Linked DNA regions of Astyanax mexicanus. The protein of the gene in region 1 interacts with the protein of each later gene in a biochemical or structural test. Links are inferred from orthologs where the notes say so. Each region holds a gene or a part of one and is shown on either strand. Other genes may lie near its edges. The genes, in order: tnksb and rnf146.

What was found.
Region 2: the proteins of tnksb (region 1) and rnf146 form a complex in vitro, tested with the Homo sapiens proteins (3 studies listed by BioGRID and IntAct, with this or other methods). The link is inferred for Astyanax mexicanus from reciprocal best matches to the Homo sapiens genes TNKS and RNF146.

Annotation. Positions count from the first base shown.
Region 1 is NC_064429.1:11,655,677-11,667,487, reverse strand, and holds the start of tnksb (tankyrase, TRF1-interacting ankyrin-related ADP-ribose polymerase b), read left to right. Parts: upstream 1-6,965; 5' UTR 6,966-7,052; coding exon 7,053-7,419; intron 7,420-9,263; coding exon 9,264-9,488; intron 9,489-11,275; coding exon 11,276-11,371; intron 11,372-11,456; coding exon 11,457-11,493; intron 11,494-11,811.
Region 2 is NC_064420.1:22,196,565-22,208,261, reverse strand, and holds the start of rnf146 (E3 ubiquitin-protein ligase rnf146), read right to left. Parts: upstream 4,392-11,697; 5' UTR 4,189-4,391; intron 1,748-4,188; 5' UTR 1,747-1,747; coding exon 571-1,746; 3' UTR 1-570. UniProt on the Homo sapiens protein: E3 ubiquitin-protein ligase that specifically binds poly-ADP-ribosylated (PARsylated) proteins and mediates their ubiquitination and subsequent degradation. May regulate many important biological processes, such as cell survival and DNA damage response.

The DNA.
Region 1 (11,811 bases):
CAACCCCACCAATCACAGGCCTTCAAGACACCAACCCCACTAATTACAGACATCCAAGGCTCCAAACCCACTAATTACAGACCTCTGAGACATCAATATCAACTCTCCAATTTCAGACCTCAGAAATATCCACTTCACCAAATACAGACCTCCGCGACATTAACACCAACAACCACAGACCTTCAAGACAACAACCCCACCAGTCACAGACCTCCAAGACTCTTAAACTGAATTTTATATTGACCAATTACAGACATCCCAGCCCTCCATGACTCCAAATGTAGCAATTGTAGACATCCAAGACTCCAAACCCACCAATCACAGACCACTGAAACATCAAACCACAGAGCTTCTAGATATCAACCCACCAATTACAGACCTCCAAAATGTCAACAACAACCACAAACTTCCAAGACACAACCTATTACATAACTTTGAAATACCAACTTCACCATTAGAGACTCAACCCCACCAACCTCAACCTCAACCAGTCATCAACCAATTACTGACTTCCAAGAGCCCAAACCCACCACACCCCAATTTCATCAAACACAAAACCTTCAACCTCACCAGCTACAGACCAGCAACTGACCCCACCAATCACAGACTCCAACCCAGAGGAGATTTCTCCACAGTGACCTCAGGTCCAGAGCCAAGGAGGTTCTGAGCCTCAGATTATTCCTCAGCTGCCTGTATCAGTCTGTCTGTATGTCTGTCTGTAGTGAGGGGATTTATTGGGGTCTGTATCTGATGCCTCCTGAGGAACCAACTCTCTGACCGTCGTCCCCCATCTCAGGTCTCAGCTCTAATGGAATATAATAATAATATATTATTGTTTACGTGGAAATCACTCTGTCCTGCTCTTCGTTTTGCTAATTGCTAAAGCTGGTGATGTTCTGATGTGGGAGAAAGTGAAAAGGTTGCACTGATTTATTTTTTTTTGATGACAGAAAATGTTTTTAGATGGTGCCAAATGCAGATATGTGATGATTATTTTTCCTCAATAAAGGAATTTCAGACAAATAAACCCCTCCCTTCCTTCAGTTCAGTCTACAATAGAAGTCTGGTAAAAATCATCACTGTGCAATGAAAAACAAGCATCTCCATTTTTGACCATTTTTAGTTTACTATACAAACTGTCCCTTACACTGTGCCCAAATTTCTTAATGAACGGACCAATAGAAACTCTTCAAAATTACCTTAATTAGTTTTGAGAGTTTTTTCTCTCTCCTATAAAGTTGCTGTTTTGGAGATACTTATTTTTCATATATATAAACAGAGTGGTCTGGTAGGTTTGCTGGATGTTATTGCTATATATGCAGAAAGCATTATGTCAGTATTTCATAAATAAATAAAATGATCAGAACAATATTATACTCAAAAACAAAGACTTTCACACAGTAATTTATTTACATTAACCTGCATTAAAAGAACTCTTCAGCGTGCTCTCTGCAATTACACACTCTCACCAGAGAGGGCTCCAAATCCCCTAATCCACAAAACTTACAGACTGTCGCTAATAAAATAAAAGATTTTTATTGAAAAATAACCATATAATTTGCAAATATGCAAGTAAAATGCTTTAATCACAAAAAAATAGAAAATAATAAAAGACTATTATTAATACAAGCTTGTGTACATGTGTGTGTTGAACGGGAAGTACACACATTTTAAACATTTTAATTTTTGCATTATAAATTGTTAATGGTAACTCTTTAGGAGTGATTTGGTGTCAAATTCTATTAAACATTTTGAAAAGACTTTGGGTCTAAATTTTTGGCTTAAAAAAGTAACCAAAGAAAATGTGCATTAGTTTAGATGTCCCACCATATCATCTTCATCGCCATCATTATTATACCATATAAACTCAGAATCAGTGGTGGGTTTGAAAAGTAAATAAAATATCTATATTTCTACTATAAAGTATAATTATTTGACATTAAAACTACAGTTTTAATAATAATTTTACACACTGAATAATACAGAGAATTTTCAACATTTGGTGGAATTTCACTTTAAAATAAATAATGTTTTGTGGGTGTCAAAGGGTTCTCAGCAGGTCAGGGTAAAACACACAGCCTGTGTGTGTTTATGAGTGTGTGTATATGTGTGTGTTTATTAGCCTGTGTGTGTTTTTGTGTGTTTTTGTGTGTTTTATGGCACCATTTGTCTCGTTTACTTCCTCCAAGAGAAAAAGACACACAGGGCAGAAGCTATTTGTATCAGAAAGTTCAGTAGCTTTATTACTTTTCATATATTCATTTTTATTTCTCATCAGTATAAAGTATATTTAAAGTAAATACACTACAGAGAACACCTCATACTGCAGCACCAAATCAAAACCACAACAACAGCGCCCTCTAGTGTTCAGAGCTGGAGCTGCAGTGTTTAAACTGTACTGCAGAGAATCTTTAACACACTGTAAACGGAAAAGTTTATCATTATGTGAAATGGAAGCTTAAGAGTGGAAGAGTTGTGTGTAAACAGTATTTTATATATATTTTAATCTGATTTTTGTGCTACTAGCACTGCACTACATCTCCTCAAACTGCTGCTGCTTCTAAAACACTACCACTGCACCTCAACACGCTTGGAGGAGAACACTAACTTACTCTGGTGGGTTTTATGTGTAACAGAGAGAGAAAAATTTAAGTTTTGTATGAATATATTTATATATATATTGAGCCTGCCAACACATCTCCAGTCCACAGAAGTTTACTTGCAAGCTCTTAAATACTGTATACAGTAATTCATTATTATCCACTGCAACTGCTAACACTGCTAATAATACTAACCTGAGATAATGCTGAAAATAATGACCTAGTAAATAATTAGAAAATTATTGAAAATGTTAACGATTAAAACTAGTTAGTGTAAAAGACCTGATTCCCAGCTCCAACATCCAAATCCTGAGGTAAATGGAATGCAGCTAATTTTATGGTAAATGAGGCACAATGCAATAAGTAGCCAATCAGAACAATCAGAGGTTATTTACATTTATTAGTCTTAAAGACACTGAAATAAAAAATAAAAGTCTAATTATACCTAGAGATCAGAAGATAAAAAAGAAACTATAAAAAGTATCATAACTCTTTATATATTAATAAAAATATTATTTATTTTACCCATTTATCTGTTTATTTAGACGTTAGCTTACAAACAGAAAGCAGTTTATAAATACAGAGTTAGAATACTGAAGAAGATCAGTGTTAGGATATACGGCACATGCCATCTCCAACACCACACCTTAACATCATCAACTCCATTATGTCCAGGTATCCACCTGAGAGGTAGGTGTGTGTGAGTGTGTGTGTGTGCGTGTGCACTACAGTACAGTGCACGTGGATGACTTTTTGGAGGGTGGATGTTCCAGCTGTCCGTCGTTTACTCCTTCTTCATCATTACTGAACTTATCCTTCTGCACACCTGAACACACACACACACACACACACACATTGCTCGTACAAATGTATAACTCAAAAGGTCAGACAGTGCAGTGTAGCTAACAAGATATATAATCAACATGCTTCTTACTGTCTGTTTCAAACTTTAAATAAATTATATACATGAACTTACATGATTTTAGACAACAAGATTCTCTACAACTTCTATCTGTGCACATTATTCCATGCTGTTTGGATACACAAACTACTGTATAATGCTAACCTAGGGTGCTAACTGATGACAATGCTAAAAACTGTGCACCGTGCAGCTTTATTTAGGGTGTGTCAGTGTGTCTTTGCTATCGTAACGATGGGAAAAGTACGCACTGGTTCTCTTAATTAATCATGGATGTGGTTAATTTTGGCTGTAAAGTTCCAGAACACCACGCCCGTCAGTGTAGATATATTCAGAAGCTCTGCTGCTGTTTAAACCAGGCAGAAGGAAGGAGTGAAAATAGACTGTTGGTGGGGTGTAAGATAGCAATGAGCATCATTAGATTTAGTGCATAACATGCCTTGGCTGAATAACTAAAGAGGGGGTCTTCAGTTTAATACTATAAACAGTTGTTTACATGCTAAGACGTTTAATATTTTAAGTTTATCTGTAAAAACAATTACAAAACCGTGTCACAGCAGCTTTTCAGAAGCCTGATTTTCCCTCTTTTATAAATAACCATTTGCTTTATTGCAAAAAGCAGCAAAAACAACCTCATCATTTGACCATGTGCCTGAGGTAACCTCTGACCTCACAGTGATCAGTATAACTCACCCTGCTGACCCTCAGAGCGAACGTCTTCTTTACCTCCAGCTGCAGCAGATCTACATTCAGCCTGTGGAGCAGAACACACACAGTAAACCTCACACATCCATCTGGTTCATTATAAAGCTGCCATTTGTTCTGATTCTTCCAGCAGATGGAGGAAGATCTGCACCTCTAAAGCTTTCTCCAGCAGCGTCCTCTTCTCCACAGAGAGAGTTCCAAAATACCTGCAGAAAACAACACACACATCATCACAACCTACACACTTTACCTTAGTCTAATTAAACAGGATTTATTACAGCTTCTGTAATAAAATGTGCAGCAGGTCAGTGTTCTTTAAATAAAGATGATATCCAGGATATGTTCAGAAAAGTATATTTTGTATTCTGTTGACACAACTATTAATGATGCAATACAATAATACAGTTCACCCTTATTTCAGCTTGTCCAGAAATGTGTGTGCAGAGCAAATTCTGAAATTCCGCTATCTGACTGTAGGGGGAGCCCAGGAGCTAGAAATGGCAGTTCAAACATAATGCTGCTTTAAATTAATCCATATACCGGTAACTAATATATACAGCTCTGAAAAAATTAAGAGAGCACTGATTTTGTTATTTATAGGTTTATGTTTGAGTAAAATGAACATTGTTGTTTTATTATATAAACTACAGACAACAGTTCTCCCAAATTCCAAGGTTACCAAGATGCAGAGCTTTCAGACCTCAAATAATGCAAAAATAAAAAGAAAACAAGTTCATATTGATAAATATTTAGGAGTTTAGAAATCAACATTTGGTGAAATAACCCTGTTTTTTAAAATAACACAGTTTTCATCTTGGCATGTTCTTCTCCACCAGTCTTACACACTGCTTTTGGATAATGTTATGCCACTCCTGGTGCAAAAATTCAAACAGCTTGGTTTAAAGTTTTTTAATTTGGTAAAATCAAAGAAACTCATCTTTTTTATGTGGGCTCTTATTTTTATTCCAGAGCTGTATATTTTACTAGTCTAGACATTTCAGATAATCCATTTTTAATGATTATGCTTATCCAACAAGTTCTAATCCGTCAGATTCTGGTAATAATGTTTTGCTTGTTAAAATAATCCTGCTGATTAATATATTATATATCTAATATTCTAATCCACATTGTTAGCTCATTTGTGAATGACTGTTTATCTTTATTTCTTAAATAATTCTTCATGAATAAGACTTTGAACAGCAGCATTTCTGAACTAAATTGTTTTTAGGAATGTAGAGTTAGAGCTTCATTTCATTTTCAGACTGTATTCACTATAAATGTATTTTCTGATTATAGATAATAGAATAAACAGCAGCAGATCTGGGGCCTGTATATAATTGACACACAGATCTAAACCCAGTAAACACATGAGTTTATCTACAGATACTCACATCTTCAGATAAGAGCCCTGGCTCCTGTTCCCAGTGCTCATCCTCCCAGCAGCTCCAGAGGAGGTGGGCATTCTGCACCTGCATTCCAGCAGCCCAGTAAACACAGGCCCAGTTCAGTCCCAGTCCCCCCAGCAGTGTGGATTCTGGTCCAGGTCCAGCATTGCTGTGCTGCAGCAGCACTACTAAGGGTCCCGTGGGTCGCGTGCTGCTGCTGATCCGGGGCCAGCCGGCTGTTTGTTGTTGTCTCCATGGCAACACAGGGCACTATTGTTCACTTCCATCCCTCTCACCATTAGCAAACATCAGCAGAAACTAACTGGTTCTGACAGACCTGTAGAGTTCTGAAACTCTGGGTCACAAACACGGACCAGCGCCGGGTCTTGAAATCCAATACTGCTGCTGTACCCAATTACTGAATTACAATACTGCTGAGTATTTAACTACACTGTAATTCAGTATCAGATTTCAGTGTGTAAAGAGGCTGTACTGTCTTAGACTCTGTTAGCATGCTGTTAATATCAATGCTTCTTCATTAAACCGAAATCTAACTGAAAACTGAAGTCATAACTTCTGCTTTTATTATGTAATTTATTGATGATTTATTGATTTTTATATAAAAATCTGCAATTATACAAATCCAAATCTGGGAATTTGGGAATCAAAATGAATTCAAGGTATTGATATTGCAAGGTGAATATATTTGTACAATTAGCAGAATATCACAAAAAAAATGACAGTAAAACATTACTTCACTAAATTAGACTGGTGAATCAGCACAGTGTAACATACACAGCACAGCTAAAACAGAGCAGTCTGATTAACACAACACAGTTAAAACAGCACTTTTAGTACTGAGCACAGATATAGTACTGAGGAAATCGGACTCTGCTGTTTTAGCTGTGCTGTTTTAACTGTGCTGTGTTAATCAGATTGTACTGTTTAGCTGTGCTGTGTTAATCAGGCTGTGCTGCTGTTTTAGCTGTGCTGCGTAATTCAGACTGTACTGCTGTTTTAGCTGTGCAAATCTGACTGTACTGTTTTAGCTGTGAGGTGTAAATAAGACTGTGCTGTTTTAGCTGTGTTGTGTAAATCAGATTGTGCTGTTTTAACTGTGTTGTGTAAATCAGATTGTGCTGTTTTAGCTTTGCTGTGTTATTCAGACTGTGCAGCTGTTTTAGCTTTGCTGAGTAAATCAGATTGTACTTTTTTAGCTTTGCTGTGTAATTCAGCCTGTGCTGTTTTAGCTGTGTTATTCTGCTGTTTTATGGTAATATCTGTATCAGCTGATCGTGCAGAGACTCTCGGCGGAAGCCCGCCTCTCCCTGAGCGGAAGTGTGTGTGTTGCTGTGTTGTTGACAGAGTGTGTGTGTGTGTGTGTGTATCTGGGTATAGTGTGAGGGAGACTGTACGGGGTTTTGTATGTAACGGCTGGGTGTAATGGCGGTGTCCCGGCGCTCGTCTCAGCACCACGGCGGCGGGCTCCAGTCCCCCCCGCGGCTCTCCGCCGTCTCCTCGCCGCCCCTGGACTCTCCTCAGGCGGACACGGCCGCGCTGAGCCCCGCGGAGGCCTCTCCGGAGCGGCCGGGCAGCAGCGGAGCCTGCAGCTCGGCCAGCGGGGCCGCAGGCAGCGCCAGCCCGTCCTCAGCGGCCCCCAGCCCGGGCCAGGACAGCGGCGCCTTCCGGGAGCTGTTCGAGGCCTGCAGGAACGGGGACGTGTCCCGGGTGAAGCGGTTGGTGGACGCGGCGAACGTGAACGCGAAGGACATGGCGGGGAGGAAGTCCACCCCGCTGCACTTCGCCGCAGGTCGGTCGGGGAATCTGTGGAATCACTGCGCTGCTGGGCTTCGGGTTGTTTTCCAGCTTCTGTTGGAATTCTCCGTTCCACCTTAAATTCTGCTGCAGTTACATTATGTTCCCACAGGCAGCAGAACGGAACAGCTGTACTAGTTAAGGTGGAACGGAGAATTCCCAAACGAAGCCTACGTTAGCGTTTTATCGGAATTTAACTTTAATTTAACCGATTAATACACATCTATGGGTTATCAATAGCTGCATTGCGATCAATAACAATGTTAAAAGGCGAGATGTGGTACAGATTTAACCTCTAAACATGCCGAATAAACGATAATGGTCACGAAGTAGATTAGCCAAGAGCTAACTAGCCTAGCCTAGCCTAGCTAAACAGCTAATAACCCCCAGGAGCTGTAATAGGCGAGCAGCGAGCAGTGTGTGTGTGTGTGTATGTGTATATATATATATATATATATATATATATATATATATATATATGCACAGATATAACTGATCGAACAGTGTGATTGGTCAGTGAATTGTACGAGCGGATGCTGTGATGATTGATAAAAATTGCATGAACAGTTATTATTGATCAACGGGTTTGATTGGTAGCAGATATTATATGGTTATTGATTTGTGTAATAGACTGTTGTGATCAATTAACCCTAACTCAAGTAGTACAGCATAAGGCTTTGAATACTTTGATTAATACATTGATCATCTTTAAGTGATTGGTAAACATGTCTAAATCTAAAATTATTAATCTTGTTAGTATTATTATTTTTAATCAAATGATACATTTTGCAAGCATCAACTATTTGGGAAATTTAAACTATTGATCAAAATCTATTGATTAAATGCAGTGAGGGGTAAAGAGGTATTATTTACTAAATGTTATTATTGGTAACCAGCAATTCAGTAAAGCATAATTGGAAAACAGATATTATGATTATTAACTGATGAGTTAATTAATAAAAATTATAGTAAGCCCATTTTTATTTTAAATGTTATTTGTAAACACTAATTATTGATCTAGGCTGTCATTAGCAAACATCCAATTTTGATAAGATGCTGCTCTTGGTGAAAATAAACAGCCGTCATCAATAAGTAATACAGCATGAGGCTTTAATTACTTTGATTGATACATTGATCATCTTTAATTACGTGATGTCTATGTCTAAAAATCTTCTAACATTCTTGATCAGATGATGTAATTTATGAACATTATGCCTCAATCAAAGGTTGTGATTGGTAAGCCGATGAGGAAACGCTTTTGTTTTGACCATTGGAACTAATGGTCAAAACCCATTTGATTTAAAAGCAGAAAAAGGTAAACAGGCACTAAATGTCATTATTGGTAATGAGCAGTTGATAGGAAAATAGCTATTATGATTATTGATCACATGTTAAGATTGGTGAATAGCTGTAATTGGTCAAAATTATAGTATATATCTTGTGCTGTCATTAGCAAACAACAAATATTAATAAAATGCTGTGATTGTGGAACATCTGTTATTGATTAAAAGATGCGTACAGAACCTTCTGCATTGAAGTTCTTTAGTAGATCCGTTCCTAATATCTGCAGTCTGGTATAAAGTGTGTTTATGGAGTGTCTCTGACAGCAGTGTAAATAAACGGATTGGCAGTGGAGGGATTAATATAGCCGACGCCTGATTCTTTAAAATAGACCTGGATCAGCTGTGATGCGGATCTGCTGGAACGGTTCTGGGCGTGTGATCGTATATTACAGTCAGTGCTGCTGCTTCAGCCTCAGAGAGGTTCTGCTGGTGTTCTGGGTGTGTTTGGTTCTGCAGGGTCGGGTTTTGATGTGGTTCTGTTGTTTGGTCTCTGCAGGTTTTGGCAGGAAGGACGTGGTGGAGCATCTCCTGCAGACTGGAGCTAACGTTCACTCCCGGGATGACGGTGGGCTGATCCCGCTCCATAACGCCTGCTCCTTCGGGCACGCCGAGGTGGTCAGCCTGCTGCTGTGCCAGGGGGCGGATCCCAACGCCCGCGACAACTGGAACTACACGCCTCTGCACGAGGCCGCCATCAAGGGCAAGATCGACGTCTGCATCGGTGAGCAGATCAGCACCGTCACGCATCTGTATCTGATATTTAAATTACATCATATTAAAGAGGAGATCCGCCCTCAATATCTGCGGGTTTCCACGTTCTCTTAGCATGTCTCAGAAATGGTCATTAAAGGTCAAATTATTCTATAGAGTCAAATCTATGGGCTGTCTAGGATTAGGCAATGTATCAAGAAATATTTGCAAATAAAAATATTCACATTTAGAGCATTTATTTACAGAAAATGAGAAATAACTGAAATAACAAAACAGATGCAGAACTTTCAGACCTCAAATAATGCAAAGAAAACAAGTTCATATTCAGTTTTAAGAGTTCAGAAATAATCAGTATTTGGTGGAATAACCCTGGTTTTTAATCACAGTTTTTTTCATGCATCTTGGCATCATGTTCTCCTCCACCAGTCTTACACACTGCTCTTGGATATCTTTATGCTGCTTTACTCCTGGTGCAAAAATTCAAGCAGTTCAGGTTTTCAATTTGGTAAAATGAAGGAAAAACATCATCAAGTGGTCCCTTATTTTTTCAGAGCGGTATATACACACATACACACACACACACCACTGTTATATACAGAGTGGTGCTGTTGATGCACTGTGGAGAGGGATGATCCCTCATCAGTAACAGTAACGATGGGAAACCTTAGCGGTAAACACACACACACACAGAAGCATCGTGTGTGTGTTTCAGACTCGTGCTGAATGCCTCTGTGCTTACACACTGCTGAGGCAGCATGCTGAGTGTGTGTGATAGAAAGTGACAGCATCACTGGGATGTGTGTGTGTGAGAGAGAGAGTGGCTATAGTCAGGTTCACTCTTGCCTGAGTGTGTTTAATCGTGTGTGTGTGTGTAGTGTGCGTGTAGTAATGGTGTTAATGTCAGGTCTCATAAGAATTCAGTTCGATTTCGATTCATTGAATCATGAAATCGCTAGTTTCTCCTCAGTTGAGTTGAGTGATGGTGAATACATATATAACTGTGTATATAAGTAGAGAAGCTGTGTGCACTGGGTGGTGGTGGAGGTTCAGTTTGGTCTGCAGCAGTGTTTGCTGGTTTGTGTGGTTAGTGGTGTTTGTTAGCTCTGTTGAATTGCTGTGCTAATAGCTACTCACTGTATGGGCTGAGTGAAGCACTCTGCGGAGGGGTATATGTTAGTGGGGTTAAACTGTTTATTCTCTTGCCTTTATGAGACGCTCTACTTTTACACATTCTGCAAATTAAAATGAAAGAGCCGAGCCTGAGTGGATGCAGCAGTGCTCTGGCTGTGTAGGGGTGGAACAAGGAACTGCAGCTTCCTGTAAACTGCAGTGAACCTTAACAGCTTTAAGGATATACTACGTTAGGGAAATATTGATTGATTGTGTATTTTAGCTTAAAATGAGCAAATACTGATACATAGCCTATACAATATATACAGAACAGTAAATTGAACTTAGGAGTAAATAAAAAATAATAAACTGTAATAAATAACCACTCATTATTACAGTGTAATTAAGACATTTGCAACCATAGCTTACAAAACACTCCTCATTTTCTAATGCACAGAATTCTGAATTGTGGATATTGACTCAAAATATATGCAATCAGATTAATTAGTGCGATATGTGAATTTAATAAAACATACAGAATCTAATCTTTAATTTTTTGTGATTATTGTAAATTGTAAAAGTGTTTTTTTTCCTACATCAGAAGCTGGAAATGCAGAACATATTGGAAAATGTGTATATCTGTGTATATTTAATTTAAAAATCTATATTCTATGCATGTGCTTTCAGTGCTGCTCCAGCACGGTGCGGATCCCAACATCAGAAACACAGACGGCAAATCAGCTCTGGATCTCGCAGACCCCTCCGCCAAGACCGTCCTCACCGGTACACACACACACACACCTCACTGAGTAGTGCCTTTGTTATGTAACCCCCCACTGTTCTGATCAGTGTGTTCTTCTGTCCACAGGGGAATATAAGAAGGACGAGCTGCTGGAGGCAGCGAGGTGAGTGTGTGTGTGTGTGTATGTGTGTGTGTGTGTCAGCAGCCACACCCCCCCACACCCACCCCTCCCTCCGTTGCTAAGGGAGTGTGCTACAACAGAATGAGGAGGATACCCATTACCTCCGTATCTTTACAGCTCCTTCAGATTTACACTGGAGCTACGATGCTAATGCTAGGTATCACTATAGTGACGATATCACAATACTGTGATCACAAGACAATTCTCTACGATACTTCACAGCATCTGTGTTGCTAAAGAGGATAAAATACTCCTCAGTGCAACATATTATAGTGCACACTATCAATGAACGCCTATTGG
Region 2 (11,697 bases), on another chromosome or scaffold:
GTTTTACCATTCCAGATTAGACAGGTTTGGACTATAAACTAAAGACAAAACCTCTGGCTAAACTGAGAAATCCTGCTTTGTTAATTACTCCCCCGTTCTTAGTGAAATTTCCACCAGCATCAATGTGTTCCCAAGCTCTTAATACCAAATTCCTTATTTAGACCAGTGGTCTGCAACCCTGGAGATCTGACTTCATGCATAATTCTGCTTCGACCTAGATCCTTCCACCAGACCCACCTTATCAATTATTGCCTTTGCAAATGCTTGATCAGCTGAATAAGGTGTGCTTAACTTGAAAGAAGAAGAAGAAGGTGAAGCATGCATAAAGGTAGATCTCCAGGAGGAGCATTTGATAACCACTGTTCTAGAGAAGTCTGCATTCCTCACAACTCCTTAAGTCCTTAAATATCCGTCCCCAGTCTGTGCCACTGTGAAACTCCTTAAATGTGATTTATTATGTTGAAATTTTTTTGCTTTTCGGACATTTGTTAGCAGTACCCTGGCAGATGGGCGTTTAGGTGGCCAGTGCGTCACGATGGCAACAGTAAAAGCGCTGGCAGCTGGTGGGGGTCACACTTCTGTTACCGTGCACTGACCATCGGGGCTGCGTGAGCGAACACTTCCGTCACCACCAACTCCACCACCAGGGGGCAGTCTGTCCAGCTGCTGCAGTCTATGCCTGCCCTGAGCCCCATCCGCCCGCTCGCCGCCACCTTCCTCACCGGCGCGGTCATCATCGTCATCAACATCCTCACTTGTGCCTGACTCTGACTCGTATCCTGAAGCATCAGGAGCCACCGAATCGTCTTCTTCATCCTCATCATCGTCCTCCTCCTCATCAGGCCCAGGGTGGCCTATATTGAGCTGAGCCAATGCCTGGACAAGAGACAAGGGGGTTGAGGCTGCAGGGCTGCTCGGGTGACCCCCCAGTATGGTAGGTGGCCGGACAGGAGGCGGGGCAAATCCCACCTGAGGGCGCCCCGCACTGGCCACCGTGTCTGCCCCATCTGCTGAACTCTCTCTCTCTGGCACACTTCCGTCCATATTGCTCAACGAATCCCCGCTTGCTGTAACACTGACACCTGGTGACCCAGCTGATGCAGATCCAGGTCCTGATCCTGATCCGCTTGCCACTCCAGATGTAGTTCCAGGCTCAGGATCCAGCCTCAGTCCAGCCACCCCTTTCTTAGGGATGTCCACCACGTCTCTCTTCATCCTCCTCCGACGGCCATGCTCGTTCCTCCTGTACTGCACCATGTTCTCTAGATCTGCCACATACAGGAAGCCAGCGATCAGCATCTCTGCGCTCTTCTTGCCCTTGTTGTGGGCATCCTCCAGCTCCCGGCTGGTGCGCTCATCGTACTGCCACCAACCGTTGCGCCCTTCGTAGTACCACGCATGGTCCCCGGCTCCCATCCCCCGGCTGCCGGACGCAGAGGCCTTCAGCTCCTCAGGCGACAGCAGCGTAGGCCGCTCCAGGAAGTCCTCGGGCACTTCCTGCCTGCAGAGGGCGCAGCGCTTGCTGTGCCATGAGGCGCCCTTCACGCACAGGAAGCAGAACACGTGGCGGCAGGGCAGGCGCACCGGGTGGACACAGCTCTGCAGGCAGATGGCACACTCCAGGACTGGCAGTGCAGGTGGAGATGGGGAGGGGCTTCCATTGCTGCTGGTCACAGAGTCTCCGCCCACCTTCTTACCTGAGGCCAGTGCATCCACGGAGTGATCGACTTCACCACAGCTAGCCATTCTGAAAAAGGAGAGAGAGAAAAAAATAAATTGAAAAATGAATTCCACAATGCGTAAGACATGGAGACACACACAGGTCAGTTAACCCTTGGTTACCTAATGTAGTGCAAGAGTACCAATTCTACACTGTTTTAAAATGAAATAAAATTAATAATGAATTGAAACATGAACAAATGTTTTGGAACATTTTATATGCTGTTCAGAATGTGTTAAATTTGTTGCAACATGTACAAAAATGTGTACAGCATAAAATGATCCAAATTTAACTGGAAATTAAACACAACATACTGCAACAAGTGACAATAAAAATATTGCCCACACCAACCACAAAAACTAATTGTCAAATATCTATGTCACAATGTTTGTTAATATAGGAGAATGATAAAGAATTTACCAGAAACTAATATTTTAAAACGTCTAAAATGACTAGGCTGCACAAACAGTCCTCACAGAACCTCCTTTAGTCTAGTTTCACTAAAACAGAAGCTGTTTGTGTCTTTTGTTCATTGTCTCTGGCTCTCTGGCTGCCATTACACAACAGTCTAATGCTGTCCTCCTCTAACGTTCTGACCTAAATAATCTACTAAATAGGGAAAAAAAGAAATTTAATGAAAAATCTTTATATTATATTATATTTATTTTATCTAGAGAGCATCTAAAATGTTAAGGCAGAAATAAAATAGAAAAATCAACAGAAAAATAAAATAAATGTACTCCCTCAGTTAAACAATTCTGCCCCTCAACCTAACAACTAGTTTTGAGGAAAATCTAGGTCACATAACAGTATTCAGTACACTTTGTATTTTGAACAGATTACATTATCATGTGATTTAAATGATAAAATACATGTAGATCATAAGCTTAATATGATCTGCTGTCACATTCATCTTTCCATAAAACCTGTTTGTATGTTTGGTAGCGTTGTAAGGGTAAGCCATACAAACAATTTCGTTTTACCCCTTTTACCTTCAAATTTAACTCAAGACTGGGTGTTTAAACACCAGCTAACATTAAACCTTTTATTTATCTATTTTAACACTGAATAAGTAGAGACAGATTAAACTTTCACTGAAAACAGATGCTCCTTTCTGAACAGATAAAAAAAAATTACATATCAGCTTAATTGTATTTATTTGGAATATTGAGCATTTTTGTATTTCAAATTTAAAGTTCAATGCTCTTAAAAAGGTGTAAATACATTTTCCTACTTACTGATACATTTTGTTATCAGTAAACCAATGGCACAGAACGGTCTAAAATTACAACTAAATAATTATTACAATGAATTCTTGGACAGTAGGGCTGGAACTAATAATTGTTTTGTCTGTCGACTAATCTGCCAATTGTTTTTTCGATTAGACAACTGGTCAACGATTGTTTCTGCCATGCACTCCTTCTCTGTTTGTTGTGGGTACGTCTCTTGTTTCTAGCTTTCTCTATCCCTACAAAACAATAGAAACAGATGAACATGAGCTCAGGTGCTGCTATTTAGTGAAGAAATATGTATTCTGTTGTAATTGGGCACTTTTGGAGACGCAGGCCCAGGTGAGTGTAAACTGTGCGAGTGAGACCAATACCATTCTCCCATTTGTGTAGTACTACCAATTAACTATTTAAGTCAACAATGAATATTTAGAGTCGACATATTTTTATAACCGACATTTTTTATTATATCGACTAACCGTTGCAGCCCTATTGGACAGTACATCGTACACAATAAATAGTTATCGTTACAGGCCTAGGGTCAATTTTAAAGACACAAAATCAAGCCTGATGGCATTTGGAAGAGCTTAAAACTGACCTGGGAGCTGGTCATCTGTGTACAACCCGAAACTCTACATAGACTGCGGCTCAAATACGGTGACAGCTGATGGCAACACAGCGATAAAATGGCCAAAACAAACAAAGCCTCCTTCAGCGGCGCTGACCCTGATCTGCTTCAGAATTACAGCTAATTGCAGGCATTTAAACTGAGCACTAATAAGAAACAGAGACTAAAATGGCTTTAATTTGAGTAAAAATAGCGAATAAATGAATATATAAGCTGCTCTTTATGGCCGCGGCTGTTTTAATGTCTTACTGAACATCTGTTCTGGGAGCAGCGCTGAGAAGCTAAAGCGCTAAAGCTAACAAACACAGCTGTTGCTAACTGGGTTAGCTAACTAGGTTAGCTAGCTGTAAGCGGAGGCCGCGGCTCTCTGCTAATGGTAACTTTAGCCGACCTACGGCCGTGACACATCCCGGTCTAAACCCCGAACATTCCCGAAAAGCCAGATAACCGGGTTTTTGTCCGGATAAAAGCCGCTGTCCGTGATTTAGTCTCTGTGGGAATGTTGCCGTTAGCCTGCCGCTCGCTAGCCGCCGAGCTAAACCTCCTCCACAGAGCTCGGTAGCCCGCCGCTAGCCTAGCCGAGCTATAACACCCCCGACCGCCCGGCTCACCTGTATAAACCCAGCTCGCGCCCTTCGCTTAGGAAAGATCCGGACTCGCTCAGCTGCCCCCGGCCCGGCGGCTCATCCTGGTTCCGCTCAGACCCGCGCGCTGTCCGTTAACCGAGGAGCTCGAGCTCAAACCGAACACAGCACTGACAACTGCGCCTTAGAGCGGATCAGCACTGCGCAGGGAAGTGCGCAGCAGCGGCGGCGCTGCAAGTGGATGATATTGGTTAAACGGGGCGTCACGCGCTGAAAGGGGCTTTATAGCGCAGCGCACAGTGACTCACTGACAGGCACGAACACCTGATCCGGAGGCGTAATAATAACATTGCTACTGAACAGAACACAATAACAACACATCACAATATAGAAACAGTATAAATACTGAACAGAACACAATAACAACACATCACAATATAAATACAATATAAATACTGAACAGAACACAATAACAACACATTACAATATAAATACAATATAAATACTGAACAGAACACAATAAAAACACATTACAATACAAATACAATATAAATACTGAACAGAACACAATAACAACACATCACAATATAGAAACAATATAAATACTGAACAGAACACAATAACAACACATTACAATACAAATACAATATAAATACTAAACAGAACACAATAACATCACAACACAATATGAATACAATATAAATACAAAACAGATACAATAACAACACATCACAATATAAATACAATATAAATACTGAATAGAACACAATAACAACACATCACAAGATAAATACAATATAAATACTGAACAGAACACAATAACAACACATCACAAGATAAATACAATATAAATACTGAATAGAACACAATAACAATGCATACAATATAAATACAATCTAAATACCGAACAGAACACAATAACAACACATCACCATACAAATTATTAGCTGAATAACATTGCATACAATATAAATACCGAACAGAACACAATAACAACAAATACAATATAAATACAATATAAATACTGAACAGAACATGATAACAACACATCACAATACAAAATATAACCTGAATAACATTACATACAATATACGTACTGAACAGAACACAATAAGAACACATACAATATAAACACTAAACAGAACACAATAACAACACCTCATAATAGAAAATATAACCTGAATAACATTACATACAGTATGAATACTGAACAGAACAACATATCACAATATACATACAATAAACATGCTGAACAGAACACAATAATAACACATCACAATACAAAATATAACCTGAATAACATTACATACAGTACAAATACTGAACAGAACATAATAACAACACTTCACCATACAAAATATAACCTAAATAACATTACATACAATATAAATACTGAACAGAACACAATAACATAACATCACATCACAATATGAATACAATATAATACAGAATAGAATAGAATAGAAAAGAATATGACCCAAATAGAATAACATTACAGAAAAGACACACATTGAATACAATAACAACACAATGCAATCGAATATGATTTGAATAGAATTACCTACAAGATGAACACAAAACAGAATATTATAATGCATCTGAATAGGTAATACTGAATAGAATAGAATAGAATAGAATAAAATATGACCTGAACATTACAAAGAATATTAATATTGAACAGAATATTATAAGATATCTGAATCAATACAAAATAAAATAGAACTGAATAAAATATGCCCTGAATTTGAGTCACGCACTGTCCAAAGGAAGTTTGTATAAATGATGTAATGTAATAACAAAAGTTTGGGAGAAGGACCACGCCCAAACTCTACATTCTAACTCCACCCTGTATCAATCAGCCGCCCTATAAATACCTGCCCTGACTAACTACCTCTCGTGACGAAAGTTCGCAACCCACCTCCTCCCCAACAACCCCCTTCTTCTACTCTATCACTTCCTATTAAATTAAAAAAGGTGGGGATATAACTGCACGCTTCTTCAGCACGCAGTTCAGAACTCCAGCCCAAAACTCCCAGAGTTCCCTCCCCTTCTTCTTTCTTTTCTCTACTTCAATTAGGCATGGTCCGCACTTAGCAAAGTGAGTGTTTAGACCTGATTTAACAACCGAGATAGAGGTAGCTCGGTGAATAGCAGGCAGCAGACTTTTTTTCCAAAGTCTTGAAGCATACACCAAAAATACACAATCACCTTTGCGTTTCAGAAGAACCCTAGACACGGCCAACACATTCAGTAATGATGATTTCAGAGAGTGCAGTGAGACTGTGGAGGTGAGCAAATCTGCAATAAAGGAAGGTTTCTTTAAAGACAACTAAAAGCACTTTAAACTGTATTCTATATTGGACTAGTAGCCAGTGAAGTGAGGAGAGGACTGGTTATATACACTCTCAAAAACAGAGGTACGATATGAGTACTTTTTTGTACTCGAAGGTACACTCTTTATAATTGTACCCTCAAAGGTACAATATTGGTCTTTACGGGGTCAGATTTGTTCCCTCTGAAGTACAAAGTCATTTCTAACAGCAATAAGTACAAATTTGTACCATTTAACCAGCCAAAGGGTACATTCAGTATTCTGTACCACTGTACTAATGAACAATATATATTTAAATTGCACATTTTTTATTTGAAAGCCAGACAATTTTGTATCATCAAGTTTTTGAGCCATATTTAGTTGATGATAATGTTTATAATCTTTATGATCTTTACTGCCACAAAAAACATGGGTACAAAAAAGGACTTTCACTGAAAGGTACTTTTTTGTGCCTCAATATAAGGTACAGCCCCAGCGACAAGCTTTGTACTCTTTTAAGTACAAATCTGTACTTATATTTCTTAGAGTGTATGTTTTCTTTTCATGTGTATGCAGCATTCTGAACTAACTGTAAGTGATGCAGAAGAGACTGGTTAATCCCTATGTATAAAGAATTAAAGTAGTCTACTGGTGAAGAGATGAAAGCATGAATAACTTTCTCAAGGTCAGAAAAATGGAGAAAAGGCTTCCGTTTTGCAATGTTTCTGAGCTGGAAGAAACTACGTTTTAATACAGAGTTAATTTGTTTATCAAATCTGAGGTCTGTGTCAAAAACAACACCCAGATTTCTCACTGAAGACCTAACGTATGATGACCAAGGTTATTAGAAACATTGTTACAGAAATGGGGAGTACCAAAAAGAATCAGCCCTGTTTTGCTTTCATTCAGATGAAGAAAATAACAGCCATCCACTTCTTGATGTCCTCAAGACAATTCTTGAGTGACATAAATGAGTCATTGCCATTGGGTCTAATAGGAAGATACAGCTCTAAGTAATCAGCATAAAAATGAAAGTTGACATTGTGCTTCCTAATATTTTGACCTACATGTATAGTAAAAACAGGATGAGCCCTTGTAAGGACCCTTGTGGAACACCACACCTCACATCAAGGTGTGGAATAGCAGTAGCTCATACACCCAGTAGCCCCACCCACTCTTTTATCTGACCAGTAAGTATATTGATCATATGATCAACTGTGTCAAAAGCAGAGCTTAGATTCAATAACATAAGGATGGTGCTATTTCCTGAACTGACAGTTAGTAAGAGGTCATTTGTCATCTTAAGGAGCGCATATTCAGTGCTGTGCATAGCCTTAAAAGCCATAGACTGTGTATAGCTGGACAGAGCATCGTCTCTCAAAAGTGAAGCTGTGTAACCCCACCCATCCTCATAGGTTTCAATGGCAAAACAGACAACTTTCAATCACGTTTTTTTCCAATATACTGTAATTCTACCTCCTTTATATAAATGCAGCAGCTAGTGTAACCTCTGCTTATATTGTCAAAGTTTTTATATCCCCACAGAACTTGTTTTTAAAAACGTTATTCAGCTCTATTCTAAAAGGTGTGGTTATTGTAAAAGGGCCGGGGGTGGACCAATGACTGTATGGGTGGAACCATAGACTGTGTATAGCTCTGAGGAGGCAGCCCTCAGGGGCAGGTTTATTTAAATGAGTAGGCTGTCTCTCCACAGTCTTTCTCCCTCCTCTGGTCTCTACTGCTCAGACTCGGGTTTCAGGATCCCCAAAATAGCGGAAAAATTTGGCTTAATTTTTATTGAATGAATGGGAACGGGGACGCGGCGTCAGGGCCGCTGCTAAGGTTTTGGAGGCCCTAAGCATAACTGGTCAGGGAGGCCCCCCACCCCCCCCAAAAAAAAAAAACACACACACACACAAACACAAAAGGTTTACGCAAAATTTTACTATTTATTAAAATTACACATGTAACTGTGAATATTTACAACGTTATAAGTAAGGCCAATAACAGTGAAGAACAGCACAAGAGTACTATTTATAATGCATAAATAATAAATTAAACGATGCATGTCTATTTTAAGCAGTGGACACGTCATTTACACAAGCCAGCCTTAAAGGTTATGAAATTATCGTTTATATTCGTGGTGTATTTATATCAGCCTGTCAAAATCTATAGAGCTGTCTGATCCTGCTGTCATACAGACCATTTGGATAGTGCACTGACGGCATTAGTCAATAGGTAGGCTACTCTGTTTATTATTTTTTTATTAAAGTCACTAAAAATCTTCAAACTACACTACTACTATTTGCAAACGTGCCACGTGCCTTGCAATACCCAGATTAGTTTCTAGTTAAGCGTTTAAAGCTACCAAATCAGCAAAGCCAACATAACTAGCTCAGGCAACACCACTGAACATGAAGTAATCAAAACTATTTAAACCTTTATCATCGAAGTTACTCACCAGAAAGGGATGCATGGGCCTCATCTTTCTGCTTCTTTTTCTTCTTCTCAGCTCCAGACTCAAACCGTCGCTTCATAGTTGAATTACCATTTAGTAGCAACTTCGCGCGGTGAACTTGTCTCCTGCCAAACTCAAGTAGCGTTGCTACTTTAGTTAGGACTAAGGTTGCCAGATAAGTTACGATTTTTCATCCTATTTGTTTATTGTTTTTAACTTACACAAATATTGCACTGGACAAGTTTTTGTATAGAATGGCCACATACACTTTAAAAATGGTTAAACATGCGCAAGATTTAGCGCCTCCATGCATTTTTTGATTATTTATTTGACTGGAAAATGTCACATCTGGCAACAACCAACAGAGCAAACCGAGCCGTGCCATTTCAGGCAATAGGGGTGGGGGCATTATATTATGCACAAAAATAATAACGTGCCGCTTTTAAGTAGTAGAGTAGGTGCCCCATGCAATGTTTAAAGACAAAAAAGATGAGCGTATCATAAATAATTCACATTGGGTTTTAAATTTAATAATGTCATAATTTCAACACATTTCATTCTCAGTCAATTTGGCTCCCTGCAACTGCAAAATGGTTGAGGCCTAACGCTGGCTGCGTTGTCTGCGTATGCAGAGCGGCGGCCCTGCGCGGCGTCCATCTTTTTTACAGTCTCTGTTAAAACCAGACTGAAAAGTCTCAAAAACACTGTTGTAGATTAAAAACGGTAGCTTAGAATAAAACAGAATACAATATCATATGATCTGACAGGGTAAAACCTTTCCTGAATAGATTTGATTATATTAGACTAGAATGTCATATGATCTGAATAGATTATTTAATTACTGATTATACCACAGTTAGTTCCGACCCTGCAATATGATTGGCTGAGTGATTGGTGTTTTGTGAGTGCCATTATTAGCTGGTAATGCACTGTAACTAAAGCTCTCCATGTATTATTCCGCCACACACAGGTAACCTAGCAATGATGCAGCGCTTACAAACCAAACAGTGCAGCTACAAACAGAGCAGCAATGGAACTATTTAAACTCACTGAGTTTTTATAACCAAACAGATCGTATTTTTTTTCCTCCCCTTTAACTTAAAATCTTTTAATAAACAGCTATAACAGAACTGTGGTATGATCGCAATAATACACTCAAGGTTTGTGCTATAACATATAATCTATGGCCGCAACACTGCATTGCCAATATTGCATGTTATAGCACTCCCTTTCGTGTATTATTGCTATAATATATAATAGAATGTGAACTAAATGGAGTAAATAGAATAGAACAGAACAGATTAACATATCATCTAATAGGGTAATACTGTTTCTAAATAGATTAGATTATAATTGAACAAAATGTCATTTGATCTGAATGAGTAATACTGTTACTGAGTTAAAAAAAAAAACAAATTCCAAAAGAGTTGGGACACTTTTTACATGTAAAGAACTTTAAATTAAAAACAGAATGCAGTGATTTGCATAGACCCATATTTTATTCACAAAAGAAAATAGAACACATATGAGATGTTGAACGTGAGACATTTTTCCATTTAATGAAAAACATAATCTTATTTAGAACATGACAGCAACGCATCTCAAAAAGTTAAGACAGGGCCATGCTTTTTAAATAGTTTCATATTTGGAGATGCAATTTAAGCAAATTGGAGAATCTCTGCCCATCTGTGAGAGACTCTTCTGAGAGTCCCTTTCTCTCTAAAATGTTCTTTTTATATCCTGTCATGTGAAGTAGTAGAGCAAATTGCTCCTTCAGCTATTTTTTTAATAAGTACAATTTAGTTTTTATCCTTTAGTTGGAAATCTGCCATCAAGTTCTAAAGTTAGACTTGCTCACTGGGGGTTTTGTGTTTTGTGTGGTTTTGTCCTGCTACCAGATTTAGGTAAAACAGCTTTATTACAGTGGTTAAAATGCTATATAATTAAATATGATTTGATTAACGAGTAAAAGTTTTTTTTATCAAGTTCAACATCTTTTATATGGTCTATGTTCAGCTGAGAATAAAGTGGGTCTATGAGATTCAATGTTCGTTAATCAGGTTGTAGAATAGAATAGAACAGAATAGAATAGATTAGAATAGAAGAGAATTAAATGGAATAAAACAGAAGAGAATATCATATGTTTTAAAGGGTAATACTGCTACTAAAAAGATTAGAACAGAAAAGAAAACCATATTTTCGAAAGGGTAATACTGGTACTGGGATATAATAGAATAGATTATGATCTAAATGTCATGGTCAGAACAGAATAGCAGACAAGCGCAGATACTGATAAAAACAAAGTATGTTTATTATGATAATAAACAGATGTAATCAGGGTCGATACAGAAATAAGGTTGATCACCAGTAGACAGAGCAATGAAGACAAAACCATACCATAAACGAGAGACAGTCCAGAGTTCATACACAAACAATCCAGTATCAGAGATAATCCAAGAGGCGGTGGTGAAAGTACAGTCCAGGTCATACACAAACAATCCAATATCAAAGGCAGAGGCAAGAATCGGCGTCGAGAAAACAAAAGCAAGGTCATACACAAAGTAAACTGAGACAAGAGATAAGTAACGCTTTGTACGAGGATAACCTACAATACGCGGCGTGGTAGTCTGTTTGGCGTGCACCTTTATAGTGCCAGTAATCAGTATTCGGGACTTCCTGGTGGAAGCAGGTGAGGTGTCACGTGATCAGGTGGATGCGTGATGTCAGCGGGTGGTGCATTCTGGGTAGTGTAGTTGTTAACCTGAGA